2 linked regions of the Canis lupus familiaris genome follow. The protein of the gene in region 1 binds, or shares a complex with, the protein of each later gene. Links are inferred from orthologs where the notes say so. Each region holds a gene or a part of one and is shown on either strand. Other genes may lie near its edges. The genes, in order: XAB2 and PPIE.

What was found.
Region 2: XAB2 (region 1) and PPIE share a complex: the UniProt entries of both Homo sapiens proteins name them as parts of the XAB2 complex. The link is inferred for Canis lupus familiaris from reciprocal best matches to the Homo sapiens genes XAB2 and PPIE.

The regions. Positions count from the first base shown.
Region 1 is NC_049241.1:52,810,638-52,814,930, forward strand, and holds the start of XAB2 (pre-mRNA-splicing factor SYF1), read right to left. Parts: upstream 3,024-4,293; coding exon 2,973-3,023; intron 1-2,972. Other genes in the region: protein PET100 homolog, mitochondrial, read left to right, coding at 3,333-3,359, 4,017-4,103, 4,277-4,293. UniProt on the Homo sapiens protein: Involved in pre-mRNA splicing as component of the spliceosome. Involved in transcription-coupled repair (TCR), transcription and pre-mRNA splicing.
Region 2 is NC_049236.1:3,240,755-3,245,242, forward strand, and holds the start of PPIE (peptidyl-prolyl cis-trans isomerase E), read right to left. Parts: upstream 2,840-4,488; 5' UTR 2,779-2,839; coding exon 2,748-2,778; intron 1,861-2,747; coding exon 1,762-1,860; intron 1-1,761. UniProt on the Homo sapiens protein: Involved in pre-mRNA splicing as component of the spliceosome. Combines RNA-binding and PPIase activities.

The sequences.
Region 1 (4,293 bases):
GTGAGGCACTCACTTCTCTCTGGCTATGAACATCCTAGATGGTATCTTCTTCCAAGAGAAGGCTTTTCCACTTATATTAAAAGTCTGTTTGGGGCGCCTGGGTGGCTGTGTCGGTTAGGTGTTTGATTCTTGATCTCAAGGTTGTGAGAAATAATTTTTAAAAAATGTTTTTAAAGTCTGTTTTGTGTAATCACCTTCATTAATTATTTTTTTAAAAGATTTTATTTATTTATTCATGAGAGACACAGAGAAAGAGGCAGAGACACAGGCAGAGGGAGAAGCAGGCTCCATGCAGGGAGCCTGACGTGGGACTCTATCCTGGGTCTCCAGATCATGCCCTGGGCTGAAGGCGGTGCTAAACCGCTGAGCCACCCAGGCTGCCCTGCATTAATTATCTTAACTAAATCTTCAATCAGCTTGCTACAGATTCTACATCAGCCCTTGCAGTTGCACTTTACGCTTTTGTTATAAAGGTGGCTTCTCTCCTTAAACCTCATGAACCAGCCTCTGTTCGCTTCAAACTCGTCTCCTGCAGCTTCCTCACCTCTCTCAGCCTTTGTAGAACCAACTAGTTACCGACTTGCTCTGAGTTAAGACTCTGGCTTACAGGGATGTTGTGGCTGGTTTGATCTCCTACCCAGACCACTAAAACTTTCTCTTATAACGGCAATAAGGCTGTTTGTTTCGCTTTTTTATCATTCATATCTTCACTGAAGTAGCACTTCTAATTTTCTTCAAGAGCTTTTCCTTTGCATTCACCACTTGGCTGTTTGGTGCAAGTGGCCTAGCTTTCGGCCTATCGCAGCTTGCAACACGCCTTCATTAAGCTTAATCATTTCTAACTTGTGATTTATTTATTTATTACGGAAAGATGACAGATTTATTTTTTATTATTATTTTTTAATTAAGTATTTTTTTAATTTATTTATTCAGAGAGAGAGAGAGACTGAGAGGCAGAGACACAGGCAGAGGGAGAAGCGGGCTCCATGAAGGGAGCCTGACGTGGGACTCAATCCTGGGTCTCCAGGATCAGACCCCGGGCTGCAGGCGGCGCTAAACGCTGCGTCACCGGAGGTGCCCTATTTTTTATTTTTAAAGATTTTATTTATTTATTCACAAGAGACACACAGGGATAAAGGCAGAGACACAGGCAGAGGGAGAAGCAGGCCCCATGCAGGGAGCCCGACGTGGGACTCAATGATCCTGGGTCTCCAGGGTAACACCCTGGGCCAAAGGTGGCACTAAACCACTGAGCCACCCGCACTGCCCTAGCTTGTGATTTAAAGTGAGACCTGTGGAACTGGAGGGTATTATGTTGAGTGAAGTAAGTCAATCGGAGAAGGACAAACAGTGTATGTTCTCATTCATTTGGGGAATATAAATAATAGTGAAAGGGAATATAAGGGAAGGGAGAAGAAATGTGTGGGAGATATCAGAAAGGGAGACAGAACATGAAGACTCCTAACTCTGGGAAACGAACTAGGGGTGGTGGAAGGGGAGGAGGGCGGGGGGTGGGGGTGAATGGGTGACGGGCACTTGACAGGATGAGCACTGGGTGTTATTCTGTATGTTGGTAAATTGAACACCAATAAAAAATTAATTTATTAAAAAAAAATGAAAGAAAAGAAAGAAAAGAAGAAAAGAAAGAAAAGAAAAGAAAGAAAGAGGAAAGAAAGAAAGAAAGAAAGAAAGAAAGAAAGAGAAAGAAAGAAAGAAAGAAAGAAAGAAAGAAAGAAAGAAAGAAAGAAAGAAAGAAAGAAAGAAAGAAAAAGAGAGAGAGAGAGAGAGAGAGAGACCTGGGCAGCCCGGGTGGCTCAGCGGTTTAGCACCTCCTTCAGCCCAGGGCGTGATCCTGGAGTCCCGGGATTGAGTCCTGCATCGGGCTCCCTGCATGGAGCCTGCTTCTTCCTCTGTGTCTCTGCCTCTCTCTCTCTCTCTCTGTGTCTCTCATGAATAAATAAAATCTTTAAAAAAAAAAAAAAAGTGAGAGACGTGTGACTCTTCCCTTCACTTGACCACTTAGAGGCCACTGTAAGGTACTAATTGGTCTAACTGCAATATTGTTATGTCTGGGGGAGAAGGGAGGCCCAAGGACAGAGGTGGGCAATAACCCAGGAAGCAGTCCTGAACACAGTCCACAACATTTATTAACTTCCCCTTTTATATGGGCGTGGCTCCTGGTGCCCCCAAACCAAAAGTAACAGAAAAGTTTGAAATACTGTGAGAATTACCAAAACGTGCCACAGAGGCATGAACTGAGCAAATGCTGTTGGAAAAAGGTGCCAACACACTTGCTTGATGCAGGGTTGCCCAAAATCTCCAATTTGTCAAAAAAGAAAGAAAAGAAAAGAAAAAGAAAAAGAAAAAGAAAAAGAAAAAGAAAGAAAAGAAAGAAAGAAAACAAAAAGAAAAAAAACCCTACAATATCTGTGAAACGAAATCCAAGGACATATATGCCTGTGCTGCAGATACCAAGACACCAAGTCTCGGACTCTTCAAGATCCCACCGGCGATCGCCCGACCAGCTCCACGCCGACTCCGGAGCTCTCCTAATCCACACACCAAGCCCTGTATTCCAGAAACGATAACGCTCGGTACCAGACCTAGGCTGTTACTCAAAACATTCAAAGACTTTACCACGGAAACCAGAGCCCTGGCTTTGGGTCACTAGCCTTTACTTCAGACGCAGACCTCTACGAGAGTTAGCCTGGCGACCCTCCCCTCTCCCCGCGAGTCCCCATTCCCGCCCGAGGCCCGGGCCTCCTGGCCCTTAACCTCGACAGCAGCTCTTCACTCGGACCACCTGGACTCCGGCGCCAGAACTTTGCTCCTGGCCAGCCTGGTCCGCACGTCCCGCCCTCGGGTGGACACAGTTTTGGTCCGGTCACCCCAGGCGGCCAAGCCCCGAACCCGGGAAGCATCCAAGGTCGGTGCCCCCACACGGGCCACCCCCCGCCCCGCCGCGGACTCACGAAAACTAGGTCCGGCCGCTCGGGCCGGGACAGACGCGCCATCACCACCATTTTCCGGGGACTCCAGGTACGGGCAGGAGTCGCGCTCTAATGACGCCTCCCTCTGAAGGCCCGCCCCCCCAGGGCCAGACTTGTTGCCTATTGGTTGAGCCCTTTCCAACCCCGCGGACCGCGTTTGTTGACTTTCGCTTAGAAAGGGCCAGGGACCGGAAGCAGAGACGAGGCCCCGAAGATGACGTCATCACGAAGCCCCTCTACCAATCAGCTTCAGCAGTGGAGCCCGCGAACGTCCAATGAGCTGCCGTTTTGCTGGAGGGTCGACTTTGGGCGGAAGCGGCTTTGTAGCCTAGGAGGAGCGAGATGGGGGTGAAGCTGGAGGTGTTTCGGGTCAGTGAGCTTCGGAGCCGGGCGGCGATTGGGCTCCTCTGGGATCTGGGGAGGAGGCTCTGAGAGGGGGGGACTCCAAGAGAGGGCCATGTCGGGGGGAGAAGGCGTCTGTGTTTGGAGAGGGACCTTTCGGGTTGGAAGCCCCAGCGGCGGGGCGCTGGGTTAGGGGAGGGCTGTTGGGAGGGAGGGCCTCGGAGAGGAGTGGTCCGGCGACGGGGGCTCCGAGAAGGAGGCTCCGGACCCTGGGGGAGATCTGGGGAAGCTCAGGGGCTCCGTGTGGTTGTGTGTTTCTGATAGGGAGACCCCTACGTTTAGGGGAAGAGACTCCAAGGCTTGGGGGTGCTCCAGGGATCTGACGAGCGGGTGGGGAATGAGGTTTCACGAGGAGGCTTTTGATTTTAGTACGAGGATTTGTACCCTGAGTCAGGGTGTGTGTGTGTGTGTTTGAGAGGGAGTTTCCCAGATTTGGGGGAGACTTGAGGTCTCTTGAATTATTATTATTACCGGGTTGGTGGGAGTTGTGCGATTCTTGGGGGGCCCTGAAGAGGCACTCCTGGCACTGCGGGAGGATGGTCCTCCAGGCTCTGAGCAACATACGCGTATCGTGGAAGGGGTTTTAATCCCTGGCTCTGCCCATTTATCCCCCGCCCCTTCTAGATGACACTCTACCTCACCTTCCCTGTCGCTATGTTCTGGATTGCCAATCAGGCCGAGTGGTTTGAGGACTATGTCATACAGCGCAAGGTGGGCACAGGGAGAGTATTCATGGGTTCTTTCCAGGGGGTGGGGGAGAGATTGGAGCACCCAGCTGCTGGGGACCAATGTCCCCTTTCCACCAGCCAGCCCTGCCGTACAGGGAAGGGGGTGTGTCTGGAGGCTCCTGGCTCATGCTTCCAGCCGTTATTTTGTTCCCACAGAGGGAGCTGTGGCCACC
Region 2 (4,488 bases), on another chromosome or scaffold:
GAACCCGGCAGCAAACAATTTTATTGGTACCAGTTTTCCAACAGCACTTCCTCTCTTTGTCTTTTGTGTCACATGTTGGAAATTCTCACACTATTTCAAACTTTTCATTATTATTATATTTGCTATGGTGATCTGTGATTACAGGATTTACAATTCGCTGAAAGCTCATATAATGGTTAGCCTTTTTTAGTAATGACGTATTTTTTTTTTAAAAAAGACTTTATTTATTTGAGAGAGTGCAAGCACGAGCGAGGGGAGGGGCAGAGGAAGAGGGAGAAGCAGGCTCTCCATTGAGCCAGGAGCCGGACTCGGGGCTCCATCCCAGGACCCTGAGACCATGACCTGAGCCAGAGTCAGATGCTTAACTGACTGAGGCACCCAGGCACCTCAGCAATAAAGTATTTTTAAGTTAAGGCAGTACATTACTTTTTTAGACATAATGCTACTGCACATCTGATAAACCACAATATAGTTACCGTAACTTGAGTGCACTGGGAAACCAAAAATTTCATTTCACTCGTTTCATGGTGATATTGGTTTGGTTGTGGTGGCCTAGAACCCAATCTGCAGTATCTCCAAAGTATGCTTGTATTGTTTTTTTACAGATAAAGATCCCAGACCCAGAGAGTTTAAAGACCTTGCTAATAATCAGGCAGGGTGATGACAGATTTAGGCCTAGAACTCCAATCTTAAAAATGACAACTAAGTGGGTGAGCAGGGTGCCCGGGTGGCTTAGATCATTAAGCACCCAACTCATGATTTCAGCTCAGGTCATGATCTCATGAGCTGCTGAGCTGCTGTCTGGCTCAGCGTTCAGCAGGGAATCTGCCTGAGATTCTCTCCTTCTTCCCATCTCCCCACTCCTGTGCTCATGTGCTATCTCTAAAATAAATAAATAAGGGGGATCCCTGGGTGGCTCAGCGGTTTGGTGACTGCCTTTGGCCCAGGGCGCGATCCTGGAGTCCCAGGATCGAGTTCCGCGTCAGGCTCCTGGCATGGAACCTGCTTCTCCCTCTGCCTATGTCTCTCCTTCTGTCTTTCTATGTCTATCACAAATAAATAAATAAAACCTTTAAAAATAATAATAATAAAATAAATCTTAAAAAAGAAAAGAAAGCAAAGGCAAGACAGAAAATCTGCAATGAACCTGTGATGCCAATTGAAGGAAATATCACCCAGGAAAGCAGAGGCCAAAGCCCTTCAGCTGGGGCTGAGCTTCCCTGCTGCCCTGATCAACAGTACTGCTGCCAAGAAAGCAGCAGGGGGTGGTGGGGTACCCAGCAGGTAGTTTGAAACAACAGTCAGATCTCCATGTAGTTCAAAACCTATCTTCCTATTGGGCTATTGAAAAAAAATTTTTAAGATTTTATTTATTTATTCATGAGAGACACACAGAGAGGCAGAAACACAGGGAGAGGGAGAAGCAGGCTCCATGCAGGGAGCCCCATGAGGGACTCGATCTTGGGACCCCAGGATTACGCCTTGGGCCGAAGGCAGGTGCTAAACCGCTGAGCCACCCAGGCATCCCGGCTATTGAAAATCTTCTCTCACACTCGACAGATGGGACTCTCTGCAAAGTTATGTCATAGCTTATAACCTTATAACCACAAGCCTCCGAACATTCCTTCTGCATCAAGATCCCTGTCATGCTGCCCTAATGAGGCACCCTCTTGAGCTTTCCTACATATCAACCATATTTAGAATGCAGTTAGAATTTTTTTCCCCTCTTAGGATTGTGAACATGACATGAAAAGGCCTCACCTGTTTCATAATCCAGAGGAATCTGAATATCTGTGATGTCTCCAAAAGGAATAAAAGCAGCATGAAGAACTTTGTCGTCCACCTCCTCTGCCAGCCCACCTGCGAAGATGCCAAGCGCCTTCTGAGCCACTGTCCTCCACTCTCTGGAGAAGTCCCTGCAGCCCAGTTAGCACGTGACAGCCACGGAGAGGGGGCTGCTCCGTCCAGTCCTCGGGGCTCAGAAGCACGTTTCTCATTTGCTCCTTCACCCAACACTCATGAAACACACCTCCTCACCCTTCCTGCGGACGCGCATCTTAGCGCCAGGATTACTGCAACAGCTTCCTAGCTGGCCTCCCTCTCCTCCACGCAGCCAACTAGAGCAAACCTGGGAACGTGCAGATTTTCACCCATCACTTCCCTGCTTCAACTCCTTCGGAGATTTCCCACCGTCCTCAAGATACAGTACAAACTCCCCGCCCCGCCCATCTCTTCGCCTTCTTTCCCTTTGCTTCCTCAGTTCTCTGGGTTTCCCGCAAGATGACCCCTTTGCCCCATGGGTGCAGGGCTATTTCACACCTCGGGGGTTTTTGCTCTTGCTGCTCCCCTTTCAGTAAACGTAACGACCCTACTTGGGCCATAGAGCGCTCATCAAACTTCGCTATTGAGGTCATTCTCACTTCCACCGGGTGAGTCCCGGGACTCCCTCCTTCCGGGCCGGGGCCCGGGCCGAGCCCCCGCTGCAGCGAGGATCTGGAGCCTCGTCAGACGCCTCTCCCAATCCTCCGGGCCCAGCAGGCGAAGCGGTCCCCATCAGAGCTCAGCGGGCTTGGAAGGGAGCCGGCGAGACTGCTACGGCGGCCGAGCTCCCTGCAGCCAAGCAGTACCGCCACGGACCCGGCCGAGACCCAGGCTCGCCACCCTCCGCGTCCCTAGACGCCTTCCAGCCCCACGCGGAGACCCCTGGGCGAGCGAGCCCCGATTCCGCCGGCTCCGCGCCTGCTCACCCACGTACAGCACGCGCTTGGTGGTGGCCATCTTGCTCCCGCGCGCACCCGCCGGAAACCGGAGTTCGGCCCGCCCCCTTCACAGGCCCCGCCCGCCCCTAGGCGCTCGCAGGCCCCGCCCCCTCCGGCCCCGCCCCGCCCCTAGGGACTCGCAGGCTCCGCCCCTAGGCGCTCGCAGGCCCCGCCCCCGGCTGTCCGCCTCGGGGCGGTGGGTCCTCGCCGTGAGCCCCGCGGCCCCACGCGGTGGGTGCTCGGCCGAACCGCCTGCTCCGCGGGTAGTAAACCATCTGCAAACTACGGGCCACCCCGCCCCACCCGCGGGCCCTTGGACACCCTGGCAGCTGCAGGTGGTTTTTACTTATTTTATTTAAAAAATCTAGTTTTTAAGATTTTATTTATTTATTCATGAGAGACCCACAGAGAGAGACAGAGGCAGAGACACAGGCAGAGGGAGGAGCAGGCTCCATGCAGGGAGCCTGATGCAGGACTCATCCTGGCACCCCAGGATCACGCCCTGGGCTGAAGGCCGGCACTAAACAGCTGAGCCATCCAGGGATCCCCTTACGTTTTTAAGTAGACGGGGAGAACTTTTTAAATAATCTTAGCAGGGATGCCTGGGTGGCTCAGCGGTTAAGCGTCTGCCTTGGGCTCAGGGCTTGATCCTGGAGTCCCAGGATCAAATCCCACATCGGGCTCCCCGCATGGAGCTTGCTCCTCCCTCTGCCTGTGTCTCTGCCTCTCTTTCTCTCATGAATAAATAAAATTTTAAGGAAAATAAAGTCCAAATTTAAAAAAATTAAAAAAAATAAAATAAATAATCTTAGCAGATATGAAAATTTATGAAATCCAATTTTCAGTGTTTATAAAGTTTTATTGGAACACAGCCATGCTCATCGCTTGCCTGTGGCTGCTTTCACACTACAGGGTCAGAAGACCTATGGTCCATCCACAAGGCCTGAAATACCTGCCCCCTGACTCTTGGACTAAGCCAATTCAGAAATCGCAGATTGCCATTTGTGGCAGAAACTAATGGGGCCACCTGTTTTCCATAGACCTGTGGGTTAAGACCTCTTTGAGGTCACATTTAAGCTGAAGCCTAGGGGCACGTGGGTGGCTCAGTCGGTTAAGGGGGGATATGATTTAGGCTCAGGTCACGATCTCAGTGTGGGCAGGTCAAGCTCTGCTCTCCCTCCCGCTCCCAGCTGGGTGAGGCCTGCTTAAGATTCTTTCTCTGCCCCCCACCCCAGGTGTGCTTGCTCTCTTTCTCTCAAAATAAATAAATAAATAAAATAAAGTCTCCTCGAAGCTAAAGCCTAAAGGAAGAAGAAGCTGGGAGAGGAGGAAGCAGGGAGATTTTAAGGAGATCCGCTTGTGCACACTCGAGGGATGGAAAGGTTAGAGTGTGCAGGGGGTGGTCATGGGATCAGGCAGGAAAGGTAGGCAAGGGTGACGCTACCCCATAAGCCATGTGCAGGATGGCAGCTTGGAGCAGTTACAGGAGGTTGTAACAGGGAATTCATGATCACATTTTATGTTCTAAAATAGTGCTGTGGGGACGCCCGGGTGGCTCAGGGGGTGAGCGTCTGCCTTCGGCTCAGGGCGTGATCCCTGGGGTCCTGGGATGGAGTACCCCCTCCGACTCCCCTCAGGGAGCCTGCTTCTCTCTCTGCCTCTGTGTATCTCTCATGAATAAATAAATAAATAAGGTCTTTGAAATTAAATTAAATTAATAATAAAATAG